Linked DNA regions of Alligator mississippiensis. The protein of the gene in region 1 purifies or fractionates together with the protein of each later gene. This does not show direct contact. Links are inferred from orthologs where the notes say so. Each region holds a gene or a part of one and is shown on either strand. Other genes may lie near its edges.

What was found. Proteins that work in one complex are often made in the same cells at the same time.
Region 2: the proteins of SNRNP70 (region 1) and SNRPD1 purify together in Homo sapiens (affinity purification with mass spectrometry; 6 studies listed by BioGRID and IntAct, counting the BioPlex papers as one, with this or other methods). This does not show direct contact. The link is inferred for Alligator mississippiensis from reciprocal best matches to the Homo sapiens genes SNRNP70 and SNRPD1.

What each region holds. Positions count from the first base shown.
Region 1 is NC_081828.1:39,883,724-39,890,783, reverse strand, and holds the start of SNRNP70 (U1 small nuclear ribonucleoprotein 70 kDa), read left to right. Parts: upstream 1-4,042; 5' UTR 4,043-4,152; intron 4,153-4,455; 5' UTR 4,456-4,465; coding exon 4,466-4,612; intron 4,613-4,775; coding exon 4,776-4,838; intron 4,839-5,589; coding exon 5,590-5,644; intron 5,645-5,823; coding exon 5,824-5,888; intron 5,889-6,078; coding exon 6,079-6,141; intron 6,142-7,060. Other genes in the region: KCNA7 (potassium voltage-gated channel subfamily A member 7), read right to left, coding at 264-821. UniProt on the Homo sapiens protein: Component of the spliceosomal U1 snRNP, which is essential for recognition of the pre-mRNA 5' splice-site and the subsequent assembly of the spliceosome. SNRNP70 binds to the loop I region of U1-snRNA.
Region 2 is NC_081828.1:137,214,007-137,221,506, forward strand, and holds the start of SNRPD1 (small nuclear ribonucleoprotein Sm D1), read left to right. Parts: upstream 1-4,398; 5' UTR 4,399-4,536; coding exon 4,537-4,550; intron 4,551-5,181; coding exon 5,182-5,258; intron 5,259-7,500. UniProt on the Homo sapiens protein: Plays a role in pre-mRNA splicing as a core component of the spliceosomal U1, U2, U4 and U5 small nuclear ribonucleoproteins (snRNPs), the building blocks of the spliceosome.

The sequences.
Region 1 (7,060 bases):
GCTGGGATTGGGTTGGTGGGGGCAGGGTGGGGGTGGTGAGGGAGACCACAGTGGGGTGGTGGGGCATTGGGGGCAGCTGTCTGCTGGTGAGGGTAGAAGGGATGGGGTACAAGAGCTAATGGGACCCCAGGACAGGCTGTTGGGTAGACTGGACTGTGGCATTGGGGTGGACACATCACCCACTGGCTCTTGGGGACAAAGGGACCCAGACAAGGCCCAGCCAAAGGGTCCAGACACCCCTGCTTTGTTTCCCCATCACTCACCGGGAGGGAAATATCTTGCTCATCCCGGAACTCAGGCAGGGTCTCGAGGCAGAAGATGACAATGGAGATGAGGATGACAAGGACGGAGATGATGGCGATGATACGAGCAGCCTGTGAGCTTTCAGGGTACTCAAAAAGCAGCCACACCTGCTTAAGGAACTCCCGCTCAGGCAATGCCCGCTCCTCCTCCTTGATGAAGCCCTCATCCTCCCGGAATTTGGTGAGGGCATCTTCGCCCAGCTGGTAGAACTTGAGCTCCTCCAGAAAGATGTCGATGGGCACGTTGGCAGGGCGCCGCAGCCGTCCACCTGACTGGTAGTAGTATAGGATGGAGTCGAAGCAGGGCCGGTTGCGGTCGAAGAAATACTCGTTGCGCAGTGGGTCAAAGTAGTGCACCCTGCGCCGAGGGTCACCCAGCAGCGTATCAGGAAACTGGCGCAGCGTCTTGACTTGTGTCTCAAAGCGCAGCCCCGAGACGTTGATGACCACCCGCTCGCAGCAGTCCTTGTGTGGGCAGAGTGGGTAGGGGCCCCCTGGCTCAGCCAGGGGCTTCTCCATGTCTGGCACACTCAGAGCGTGGGGCTGGGGGCCATGGGCCAGTGGGTGGGGGCTTCCTGCTGTGGCCTGGGCCCCTTCGTCCGGCCTCGGCTCCTCTTTCCACTGATGCGTCTCGTCTCTTCTACCGTGGGTTCCCCCCTCCCTTCGTTTCTGGCACTGACACGGTCCTTAATTCACTCCACAAATTCCACCCCCCACCTTACTCACTCCACTCTGTCTCCCCACTGCTCTGACCAGCTCCTTCTGTCCCACTATCTTCCTCCCCTACAGGCGCTTTCCTCTTCTTCCCGTTTTTCTCTCCTTTTTCTCTCTCTCTCAGTTTTTTTCTAATGGACCAGTCTTATCCCCTCCACTTTCCACCTCGGGACCCTCCCAGCAGCCCCTTTGCTTGGCATTCCCTTCTTTTCTGCTGCTCCCCCCCCCCCCACCCAGGTTCTTTACCCCAGACTGTTCTGTCCGTCTGTCCGTCCCAATGCCAGTGCTCAGGTCCTCTGCCTGTAAACACTTTCTCAGACCAGGGAGGTGTCATGTTGCCGGGCTGCACAGACTCCTAGCCCCCCTGTGCCAAAATTCAGTACCCGCCCCCTCCCCACTGCCCTCCCCACCCCAGCCACACTTAGCTCTGGGGGTGCTAAAAATAGCAGGGGGAGGACAACTCCCGAGGACAGGGTTGCAAAGGAAGGCAGGGCACCCGGGGTGCTGGAAGCCTGGACGCCTGGGTTCTTGCCCAGCTCTGAGAGGGGAGTGGAGTCTAATAGAGGAAGAGAGGACTAGGAGCCAGGACTCCTGGGTTCAATGCCAGCTCTGGGAGGGAAGTGGGGTCTGGCAGGTTGGAAGAAGGGCCTGGGTGTAAGATGAGGGTCAAGGCCATAGGTTACAGACACTGGTGTCCCTTCCATCACAGGCAGGGAGAGGTGTTCAGGACTGTGCCATAGCAACTGGACAATGACCCCTGACTCGTGCCATAGTAATCAGAACAATCACACCTGACCTCTGCTATGGCAACCAGAGCATTGACTGCTGATCTATCCTATAGCTTGTTTGGGTGGTTTGACACCTCCCAGGCAGTAATTCCTAAGAAACCTAATTAAACATGACACAGTTAATTAACCTAGTAAACTTAGAGCTGGAGCTGGAACCCCGGAGTCCTGGCTCCATGCCCTCCTGCTGTAACCTGCCAACCCCAATTCTTTTCCCAGAGCTGGGAGAGAACCCAGGTGCTCTGACTCCCAGTTCCCCCTGGTCTCACCCCCAGACTGCACTCCCCTTCCAGAGCTGCAATAGGACCCATCCTGACTCCCAACCCCCTGCCTTGCTCTAACTCACCAGACCCCATCCCTCTCACTGTCTCAGACACCTTCTGCTCCCCCCTGCTTGCTCTGTGTGTGTGTGGTGGGTCAGTGTCCCAGGGTGACCATTGTAACAGGTGCACAGCTTTTAAATGCATTTTAAGGTTTGTGTAGAAATGCTTATCCAGGATGCTCTGTGTGTGTGTATATATATATATATATATATATATATACACATACATACACATATACACACACACACATATATATATACATATATATTTTTTTTTAATCCTCCCCCCCCCCCCCAAAAAAAAAAAAGTCAGTGTCCCTTCCAGGTGAATGGTGTCCTCTTCTGCCCCCCACGGTTATCTCTTTCTCCCTCTTCAGGCCACTGGGCCTTACCAGAAGCAGGCCTGGGACATATGGGTCCAGGGGCACCACTGGGCAGGCCTGGGGTATGGAGGCTCTTGTGATTCAACGATTTGTAAGACATGGGTCAGAGGTCTTTGCCCTGGTTGCTATAGCATAAATTAGGGGTTGTCACCCTGCTTTCTGAGCCCTGGCTGCTATGGTACAGGTCAGGGATCATTGTCCCAGTTGCTATGGCATTGGTCAGAGGTAATCTTTGTGGTTACTATAGCAGATCAGCAGTCAATGCTCTGGTTGACATAGCAGAGGTCAGGTGTGATTGTTCTGGTTACTATGGCACGAGTCAGGGGTCATTATCCAGTTGCTATGGCACAGACCTGAGGTTGTTCCCCTGTTGCTATGGCATGGATCAGGGGTCACCATTCTGGTTGCTATGGAAATGGTCAGGGATTGTTGTCCCAGTTGGTATGGCAGAGGTCTAGGGTCTTTGCCCTGGTTACTATAGCATGGGTCACAGTTCACTGCCATACTTGCTATGGCCTGGGTCAGAGCTTATTGTTGCAGTTACTATGGCATGGGTTAGGTGGCACTGCTGCTTTTGCTATGGCGCAAGTCACAGACCATTGCCCTTGTTGCTGTGGCTTGGATCAGGGGCCATTTCTTCAGTTTCCGTGGCATGTGTCAGGACTCAATGCCCTGGTTTCTAAGACCTGGGTCAGGGGTCATTGTTGTGATTACTATGGCACAGGTCAGCAGTCATTGTTCTGTTGTCAGAGGAGCCAAGTACGTGGGGGCCCAAGGTCACTGGCCCCCCACGTGAAGCGGGGTGTCACCTGAAATGCATAAAACTTTCCACATGCCCATCATCTCAGGGCCCACACTGGCAAAAAAATAAAATTTGGTGCTTATGTCTGTTGCTATAGCATAGGCCTGGGGTGGTATCCCCAGCTGCTGTGGCATAGGTCAGGGTTATCGTGTGGTTGCGAGGACACAGGCCTGGGGTTGTTTCTCCAGTTGCAATGGCATGGCACTGGAGTCCTTGTCCTGGTTACTAGGGCCTAGGTCAGAGTCATTCTTGTTTGTATGGGACTGGTCAGCGGTTGTGGTTCTGGTTGCTATGGCACAGGTCAGGGATCATTGCCTCATTTGCTTTGACACAGGTCAGGTTCTGGTTGTTAAGGCATGAGTTGGGGTCATGGTTTTGGTTGCTAAGGCACAGGTCAGGGGTCATTGCCTTAGCTGCTATGGCACAGGTCTGGAGTCATGGTTCGGGTTGCCAAGGCACTGGTAAGGGGTCACTGGCTGAGTTGCTAGGGCCCAGGTCAGGGGTCATGGTTCTGGTTGCTATGGCACACGTCTGGGGCCGTCACCCTGGTTGCATGGCACTGACCTGGGGCGGTCCCCGTACTGTCACGTGGCTCCGCCTCCCGCCCTTCCCTTCCCCCCTCCCCGTGATCCGGGACTATTTTCCGACGGCGACCGCGGAAGAGCCTCGATTTTGACACTCGCGAACTTACCGCGAGTCTCGCGCTGCCTCCGAGACTAGGCCCGGCAGCGGAGAAATCCGGCGCGGTGAGAGGGTTGCGCCTGCGCAGAGCGGCGGAAGAGTAGGCCCGCGGCAGGCGGCGACGGCAGCAGCAGGAGGAGCTGAGCGCGGCGCGGCCCGGGCGGTGGGTGGATGAGGGAGGGAGGGCGGGAAGGAGCAGGGGGGTTGGGGGAGAAGGGAGTGGCGTATGGGGCAGGGTCTGGGAGGGGGACTGGGGTGGGTGTGTGGGGAGGGAGGAGGGCTCGGTGGGAAGGGGGCGGGCTGGGCTCGAGCCCAGTTGGGAGAGGAGGTTGGGGCAGGCAGGAGGAGCAGCGGTGTTGTGGGGGGGGACATGGGGGAAGAGGGTCTGCAGCCCAACAGGGTTCATGGCGGGGGCAGCGCTCCATGCAGGCTCCTGACGGGTCATTGTCTGCTGTTTCCCCATCAGATTCCCCACGATGACGCAGTTCCTCCCCCCCAACTTGCTGGCACTCTTTGCCCCCCGAGACCCCATCCCTTATCTGCCCCCTCTGGAGAAGCTGCCCCATGAGAAACACCACAACCAGCCCTACTCTGGCATTGCCCCTTACATCCGGGAGTTTGAGGTGAGTGCTCACTGCTCCCACCCAGCAGCCTAGCCTGGACTGGCTAATGCTGGACTCTCTCTCTGTTTCTTTGCTCTGAAGCCACCAAGTTTGCCCTCTGCCAGTTCAGGCTACCCTTATGTCTCCTTGGTGCCCTGCCACTATGCTGCTTTCTCTCTTCCAGGACCCACGTGATGCCCCTCCACCCACCCGTGCCGAGACCCGTGAAGAGCGGATGGAGCGGAAGGTACAACTGCCCTGCCAGCTTCAGAGGACCCCAGTGCCCCCTGGTGTTACAGCCAGCAGTGGTGGGAGAAAGGGGCTGGGGGCATTAAGAAGCCATCCCTGTATTATGTGGCAAAGGGGCAAGTTTGGGTGAAACTTAACTACCGCATTCTCTCTAATATTCTCTGTTGTTTCTCTTCTCCAATGATTCCAGCACAGGAAAAAGAACCCAGATGTTCTGGGTCTATTTCTCTTTTCTGCTCTAGCCTAGTGGGTTAAAGAGCTGGGAACCTGGATGTCTGGGTTCTGTCCCTAGAGAGGAGAGGAATGGGATTGAGTGGAGTTGGGGAGCTAGGAGCCAGGACTGGTGGGTTGTATTTTGTGACAGTTTTGTCCTTGGCCTTGGCTTACTTTGGAGGTGAGGTCCCCAGTAGCCCCATCTACAAGTTGAAGATAACAACCCCTCAGAGCATGTTGAGGGTGAAACAGTGGTATCTTTAAAAGTCATGGTTTGTGATCTGTGCCATAGTAACCAGAATGATGATCCCATGACCTAGGCCATAGTAGTCAGGGCAAGGCCCCCAGTCTTGAGCCATAGCAACTGGGGAAACAACCCCAAGCCTGTCCCATAGCAACCAGGTAGTTACCTGATGCAGCTCCACCACCTCCCCTGTTACCCCCTGGGATTACCGGTTCCCCTGGGAGGGGTTTCCAGCACTTTCTGGACCTGGGGAAAGCTACCAGCTGTTACCTGTTCATTTTCCTTTCTGCAGAGAAGAGAGAAGATTGAGCGGAGGCAGCAAGAGGTGGAGAGTGAGCTGAAGATGTGTAAGTGAGGGGGTGAGGTTCCTGCTCCGGTTCATCTAACCTAGCTCTGCAGCCTCTGCCCATCCTCAGCTGTGACTTATCCCACTTCTGACTTGGGTGGGAGGCCACCCAGTGACTGTGGGGGTGAGGGGTTCTCTTTGCCCACCTCTTATACATATCCTTGTTTTCTGCCCATCCAGGGGACCCACACAACGACCCCAATGCACAGGGTGATGCCTTCAAGACCCTATTTGTGGCCAGAGTAGTAAGTGTCTCCCCTTCTCCTTGCCTCTTATACTGTGTAGAAACAGCTTCCATATTACTTACCTGCGTCTAATCTTGGTTTTTACCATTAGGGTCAGGGGGGATCCTTTTCCGGGGTTCCTATCCTCTTCCCTTCCCCCTGCCCCCTGATCTTCCTGAATCCTCACCAGCCTGTCCTTTAAACCCTGTAGAACTACGACACAACAGAATCCAAGCTGAGAAGAGAATTTGAAGTCTATGGCCCTATCAAGCGGGTAAGAACCCACCTTCTGCATCGTGCCCACGAAGCTGTTTCAGCTTCTTCACAGCAAGGAAAGCCCAGGCATGGAGACAGTGCCAAATTCTGCACCCTTAGTGTGAATCCAAACCCCCTTTCAGGGCATGTGCCAGTGGCCACCTACTGTTGACCCAGCTATAAACAGGCATCATCTCACCTGTGCTCAGGGTGGGGAAGGCACCTGGCCATGATGCCAGCCCCATTGCTCCCTTACATGTCACTGGGGTAACCACACAGGCCTGGTGAGCAGCTCAGCACTGGTAGACCTTAATCCCTCCCCACCCCAGGAAAAACCTTTTATCGTTTGGTGGCCAATGGCATCCACTCAATGGACACTGAATCCAGATGCTTTTTTCCAATCCATATGTATTGTAAGAGCCTTTAACCATGAGGGAAATGGGGTGATGGGCTGCCCCAGCCTGGCTCTGTCCTGGAAGATGCTTCTGGTGCAGCCTGAATCCCTGGGCTATGTGAAAGGAGAAGCGGGTGCCTGTGTTAGTGCCTGCTCTGAATTGTTAGGGGCTGACTTGCCCCTTGGGCAATTCAGCAGAGTCTCAACCAAGAATCTGCCCCCTTTGACACTACCCTGCTGTGTCCCGGGGTATTGGGAACAGTATTCCACAAGCCTTTGTGGTTGGTTAAGAGTCCAGCATGTGGGCTCTGCCATGCTGGCTGCCACCAGGGAAAACTCAAGTACTTTGTGTTATGGCTGTGGTTCACCTGTATGGCAGTAGTCTTTAAGGGGATCTTTCCCTCTCCTGGAACTCCAGTGCTGCCCTCTGCCAAGGGGGTGCCAGCAAGTCATCTCCACAGCTGTCAGGTCCATTTGAGCCACCCAGAGGAATACAAGAGCACCCTCTGCTGGTCAGCGGAGATGGGGATTCTGAGGCTGGTTT
Region 2 (7,500 bases), about 97 Mb from region 1:
TTCTTTTCTGGGAGAGAACTAAATTATCACTTTGGTGGTGGTACCTTACAGTTGAGATCTGATTTCAGTTTGTCACAGTGATCTTTTGGAATATTGCATTAGTTGTGAAGGTTGCCCTCATAACAAAGTAAGTTTCATGTGGAAACCACAATGATGCTGGTGTTAGGTGTGTGTTGATGTATTAACAGGCCTACTCAGCTGACAGGTGAGCAGGGTAGTTCCAGCCAAGTTATGTGATTTTGATGGGAGAGGTCTGTGGTGCTGCTCATGTGTCAACATACCCAGATGTTGGAGTGTTATGATAGACTCAAATCATGTTCTGAGCTAATATAACTTCACTCTAAGAACAGGGAAGTGGAGTTTGCTTTCTAGATTTTACAGTTGAATTTCATTTGTCATAATAGTCCATGTGAGCAAGAGTCCTATTTGTATACATATCACTCTGTTTGCTCCAAACTTAAACAAAAATGTGTATTAATGCTTTGTTTAAAATGTGTGTTGTCTTTTGATGCAATATTCAATTAAATCATTGTTAGGGAGGGAAGAATAAGAAAGTGATTAGACATTTCTGAAGCAGCAAATGTCGGCACTGCCTAAATATTGCAGTCTTCAGACAATACTGTATTACAGTTTGACAGCTTAAGCACGATTCAAATTCAAATACAAGTTGTCTCAAGATATAAATGAAACCTAAGAATGTAAAACTCCTTCTACTGTGTTTATTGAACCCTCTTATGCTAAAGGTCCAAAGTACTACCTTATTTTAAGAACAGTCACCATGTAGAAGATGCACTCCACATTGTTTTTTGTTAGTCACTGCTTCTATACATTTTGGGGTAACCTGTGGAAGAAAACAACTCTGGGGAGATGGACTTCTCTTAAATTCCATTTTTTTGCACTTGGGAGCAAAAGCAACTTGCTTTTCATGCATGATGTTGTAACACTTCTTAAAAAAAAAAAAAAAAAAGACTAAGGTACAAAAATAATTTGTGTTAGTTATCAATAAATGTGTGTCTTAAATTTAGTGCTTCCAAGCTGTATTTAAAAAAATAGATAATCCTAATCAAGGACCAATTTTAAAATATTTTGCCATTTTATTTTATATGGTTTCAGGAAAACCAGACATGAAATTTGCTTAAGACGCTGTGCATTGTTTAATATTTCTTGTAAGTACAGCTGTATATTCATATTGCAATTATGAAGTTTAAATATTAGAAGAAAAATGTAGAATACTAGGGTTAGCACAACTGTTAGTCACTATTGAAACTAGTACACAAAACTGATGCTGCAGTGTATCATTGTGTTATGATTGAAAATATGTACAGTTTTTTTGCAATGGTAATTGTTCATTTTAACCTCAAATGTTTCTGAAGGCCTCTCTGGGTTTTGTTTTTAAACATTACCTGTTATCTGTACATTACTTATACTAGTAAGGAAAAAGCAAAATACCTGTCTAGCTTTTTAGATACTATAATGGAAATATCGGTTGATGGTTGAACTGGAAATTTCTCTAACTTAATCTCAGACATAACTGCATAATAGATAAGCGTGCATCATAGCTTAAAATAATGATTGGAAGGTCTCACTAGCGGGGCATTTTGAAACGTGGCTCAAGTAAATCTTCTGTGCATCCTCTGTTTAAGAGTTTGCAACAAAGACCAAACTTGAATGGTTAATGTACCTATGTAGCAAGACCTGATGTATGTTTTGAGAGTTGGAAGGGTGTCTCTCCTTCAGTACTTTGCAAAGTCTGTATTTCTAAATTCACATATGGTGTACTCCATAAATTACAATAAAATTTCAATCTTTTCTAGATTTTTTTTTTTTGGTCTTTTTTTCCCTTAGAGGTAAATATTTTTAATTGTACCTTATAGGCAAGCAGCACTCAACAACACTGGAGGAAGGCCTAATGGGGGGGGGGAATACAAGGTCCTACTATTTTGCACTTAATTTTAATGGATGATTAGTATGTGAAAATTCTCAAATTAGCATAACAATTCTCTCTCCTTTTTGGAAGCAAGCCTAGAAATGAGTTAGTTATAATAATTTCCTCCCCTTAAGCTTGTTCTGTATTGCCTACACAAGTGTGAGGGGTGAAGACTAGTACTATGGTTGGTTTCTGTCACAACCCAAAGTTGTGGTTTTTGTTTGTGTGTGCTTTGGCACCGCTAAATTATTGTTCCCGCCTAAATTGTAGCTTTCTTTGCACGGTAGAGTTCTCTGCTGCGGGAGAGAACTCTGGTGCAACAGGGGATTTCCCACCAATTTGCAGCTTCTTTGCAGGGTGCATTTCTTTTGCATCTCAGAGATGTACGGTGCAAAGGAGTTCTCGCCATTTGTATTCAGATTCGCGCCACTTTATTGGCCGGCTCTGAATGTAGGCACGCGTGGCGGCTAGCTATTGGCTTGCTAGCTGTACAAAAGGCTCGAGTTGTTTCCGCCCAAGTTGGAGGACTCCACGAACACCAGGAGGAGGAGACTTCACCCAGTGTGAAGATCTCTAAGCACTGCGGATCCTCACGGACCCAACGCGTCTCAAGCAGGCAATAAAGGCTTAATAATCAAGCCCCCAGAGCTCTAACTACTCTGGAGGGAAAAAGGAAAAAGAACGAACCGCCTCCAGCCTCTCCCCGTCGCCGAGCGCAATCCCAGACGTATCCCTTTCCTGTAAACCCAATTTTTGAACCCACGGAGCCTTAACAACTCCGGGGGACCAGGGAACCGAACTGAGCCCGTGCAGCTTCAACAACTCCGTGGGAAAGAATTGCCGAACCTGTGGAGCCTAAACAACTCCATGGGAAGGAATTTGTCGTAGTCTTCCAGCGAGGATTTAAGCGGAGCTGCACCTGGAAAGCTGTCCAGCCTATACCACTACCATCTTTGGGTGTAAGTAAATAATCTTTTCAATCAACCACTACGCGTTTGTGACTGATTCTAGCTCACCGCTGGTTTTCTCCGACCCCGTGTGCCCGGGCTGCTGGCCACAGCCCACGTGTGCAAAAGACGGGCCACGGATCGCCCCTCCCGACTCGCACTTGGCGGCGGGATCGGGGCCTGGCCCACACAGTTTCTTCTACGTTTTTGCTTTATATATCCTCTTTTTAACAAAAAACGTGACCAAGGAAGTGACTACTCATACGTCCTGTATCAAAACACTCACTCCTGCAACATTTTAAAATGTATTTCAGTGTTTCTGTAGATGTTTCTGACCATCTGCAGGGGAGGGGTGGGGTCAGAGAACTGGAGCATCTGAGGGGTACGGGGAGAACTAGAGTATCTGACTCATTAAATATAAAAAAATGAGAAAGTAGTGTTTTTTTGAAGGGGCTGGATCCACCCCTTATTGAAAACCAGCAGTTTAGTATCTGACCTGTGACAGCTTGACTAAAGAGAGGAAATTTATTTCCACAATTTTTGTTTCCCCGACAACTCTCATTACTTGCTGTCAGGTTCTTGTCCCTTCCCCAAAAGAAACCCCCCCCCCCCCTTTTTTTTTTCTTGTGGATTGGTTAAGAATGCCAAGGAGAGGTCTGCACAAGGGGGATATTGTGCACTAGCAAGCAGGTGTTCTAGCTGCCTGGCTTCCCAGCACTGGACCCAGGACTTGGGGAGCCCCCCCAGGTAGGGAACCCCTGACATTCCCAGAATCCAGGGTAGCCCCTTGCTGAGAGATGGCCCCCTCGGCCAATCAGCAGCAAGAGGTATGTCTCCATGACCAATTGGCAGCAAGGGCTGGACCTATAGGACCCTTTGGCCAATCAGTGACAAAGGGTGGAGCCATCACAGAAAAAGGCCTTGGCCCCTCTCCCTGGGAGCCCTGCTTTTCCTAGCTGTGCCCTGACCTAGCTCTAGGCACAGCCAATAGAATGGCATGGACAAGTGAATGTCATGTATTTCCACCAATTAAATGAAAACAAGATGGGGGGGGGGGCAACGTTTAAACCAAGGAGGGATGCCCTCCCTGCTCTTAAGTTTTTTCCATTTATTTATTTTTTTTTTTTGTAATAAGACAAAAGTATTTGGCTGCAGCAGGGTTTGGCACTGGGGCTTCCTATTGGAAACCTCCGGGTTTCTCCTACAACTCCCGTTCATGCCACTTCTGCCCCCTCCGCTGGGACCCGTTGTCCTCCTCCTCCTCCCCCCCGCCCCCGCACTGGGCTGAGCAAGTAAAAGAAAGCAGTCAATGCGGCCGGCCCACCTCCTGCCCGGATTCAAGCTGGGGCACGTGACTGAAGCCCGCCACTCGGGGGCCGAACCAATCCGGTGTCCTCTGGCCTCCACTCCCGCCCCGCCCAGGAGTCCACTGCTCACGCGCGGCGCTTGCAGACGCTGCTAGGCCTCCCCCTAGCCAGCAGGTGGCGGCCGCGCGTTCACACGCACTTCCGGTGCCGCTTCCGCCCATTCATTTGTTAGTAGCTTTTGCCGCTTCCTTGGCGCGAGCCTCCGGCGCGGCCTGGTCTGAGGCCTCCGCACCGGGCTCAATTTTTTTCTCTTTTTTTCTCCGGCCGTTTGCTTCCCGCGGTCTCGGCTGCCGCCATGAAGCTCGTGAGGTGAGGAGGGCCCGGATGGAGCCGGATTTAGGAGCGGGCCCCGGCGGCGGGGAGTGGCGCGCGCCGGGCCTGGGCCTTTCCCGCCTCCTGCCTCACACCCCCAACGCCCGCTGCCCCTCACGGAGCCTCGCGCTCCTTGTCTGCTCCTTTCTTCCCCCTCACCTGCCCGGGTCACACTGCGCCGAGACCCCCGCGAGGGGCTTCGGAGCCCCCCCAATACACGCGCGCACACTGCGCATGCACATACGGCCCCGCGCGCCGGCTGCTCCCAAGGTTCGGTCCCATGGACCAAACTTTGGGAGCGGCCGACACGAGGCCGTATGTGCAGGGTGGGGCACACGCACACATGCATGTCCCCTGCCCCAGCAGAGTTGCTGAACTCAGGTGGGGGGAGTTGGGATGTCTGCCCCTGGGGTGCCCATTCCTGCCTTTGTTGCACCTGCCTGAAGGTCCCTGGCAAGGGGCTGCAGGTCCCTGATGGATTCCTACATTATTGGGTGCTGCTTTGAAGCCCCCCAGCATCGTTAATGTGTGCTCATCACGGCCTTGCCGTGTTCCATCGTTAGGATGTGTTTTTAACTGTGTGTTGGGCACAGAAGATGTGTGTGTTTACCTGTGGTTCGTTCCGCAGGTTTCTGATGAAGCTGAGCCACGAGACTGTCACCATCGAACTGAAGAATGGCACGCAGGTGCATGGCACCATCACAGGTAGGAGGCTCCAGTTGTTGATAAAGCACGGCTGGAAAACCCCCTCTGTCTTCCCAAGCAACTCCACCGCCTTCCCTAAATATTGATGTTTCGGGACACCTCTTGTGAAATGTCTGGTGGCCAAGTTCCTGCGATTGCATCCAAGCACTAGGATAAAGAATGTCAATTCATATTTTTTATTTGTGTATCAGTGCTGGGTGTTCAGGTAATAAAGATGTCTCATGTAAAGGTTAGCAGTTGGTCCAGAAGACAATGAATGGATGTTTTGGACCTCTAATAATCTAGATCTCGCCCAAATACAGATTGTTAGGGCTGCCCATAGTCGTGGTCATCTAGACTCCCTCTGGTCTCCTTTACAATAAGCAGCTGTTGCTAAATGCCAAAGGAGCAGAGATTTGCAGTTTTTTGGATGCTATTTAGAATAATAAGTATCTTCTTTATGGGAATCCTTACCAATCAGTTCTGTTATGTTCTGTGTCTCCCTCTGACCTTCTGCTCTCGTGTGTGCCTGGTGGCCGTTAGTGCTGTCAGCTCTGATTATGCTGCCCGTCTACATCATTTGCTTTCCAGCATGTTCATTAACATAACTTACCCCTCTTGCTAGAAATTGATGCTTGCAGTCCGTGTCTCTGTCTGGTTTTACAGGTAGCTGGGCTCTTTTTTATAAGGGAAGGGGCTCTTGCGAGAGCCTGGCTGCCTGTAGAAGCCACTAGGGCCATGGAAGCAGCGCGCTAAGCTAGCACTGACCTGCCAGCGGTTCTCATAGACTGCCATGAAAATGCTTCGAAGACTCTGGTTTACAGATCATAGATAGTCATGGTAATAAATCAAGAAGGAAGAATATTATTTTCTAATATCGTTTAACTTTCTAATGAGTTGTTTTGGGAGATGCTGAGAGCTAGTGGGTTGATCATAAGAACCAGGTCTCAACACACAAGTGGCTGTGGCAATATCCCTCTTGGGTCTTGTTTACACACAAACTTGCACTGGATTAACTAAAGGCACGTTTACAAAATTGATTTAAACTTCTCCACTTAAAGTCTTACCAACATAGTGAGGATGCTAAGGGGAGAAAGTCGTCCCCCAACCCTTCCACTTCATAATTATGTCAGTAGAAGTGTTTGTGTGCATATAGTTATGCCTGCTTGATACATTTTTTCATTTATATTTTATTTTACTTTTCCAAATGAATAAACTGTAGCCACATACAAATTTTGATGCAGGTATGGGCATCTGCAGCATGGGTTTTTGCCTCTCTTACTTTGTAAGCATAGCTAAATGGCAAAACTTTTTAAAGTAGTAAAACCTTAGTTAAACCAGTACAGATTTGCAGGGTGCTCTAAAACCTGATCTGTTTTGCTACACTTGTATCACTATAAAAGTATTTCCAACTTTAGCAGTGCTTCCAGGCTTAAAGGTTAACTTTTGTATGGCCACAAGCATTCACAGCTGTAATAGTTGCATCTTAACAGTAGTAGCACACTCCCCAGGACTAGCTCCCCTTCCACTTTTAGAGGAGCTAAAATTTTTGTTTGTTTATATTCCTCCTGGCCATAATCCTGTTTTTTTCACAATCTTATACTACTTCAAAGAACCTGCAGTTTAAATGGGCAAGGCAGACGCAGACTGTAGGGGGGGGAAGAGGTACTGGGGCAGAAGCCAAGTGAACAATGTGAGGACAGCAAATGATGAGGGGGTGTACAAATGTGGAATGTAACACAGTTTTCTTAAATGATCACTGTATGGAACACACCATCTCTTTGTGGTTGAAGTTCCTGGAGATGTAGCTGGTGTTTCAGTCTGTTGGGCTGTCCTTTAATGGCTGGGCCGCAGAAGAAAGTGACTTTCTGTTGCTGCGAGCTGGGTAATCAGTCTTTTGCATTAAATGTGAAAGACCTGTACTGGAGGTTCAGGATTCTTGCATTTTTAATGATGGGGGAGAGGTGTTGTTTCAAGAACAAATATTAGATTTGCTTTTATGTAAAAATATATAGGAAATGGTATACAATTGTATATATAGGAAATCCCAGAATTAAGAAGGTTGTCCATTAATTTTGTCTCCTTTATCATAGCACTTACATGATTGGGCTATTTTCCCTGCAGAGCTACTGCCTGGATCCAGTGATAGGATGAGCGGTGCTTAAGGAACAAATTAAATTTATGCTGCTAGTGAGATGTGTTGAGTGAGGTAGGGGACTCCAGGAAGAGAGGGGATGATTATGTAGTTAAGGTAGCTGTTTGG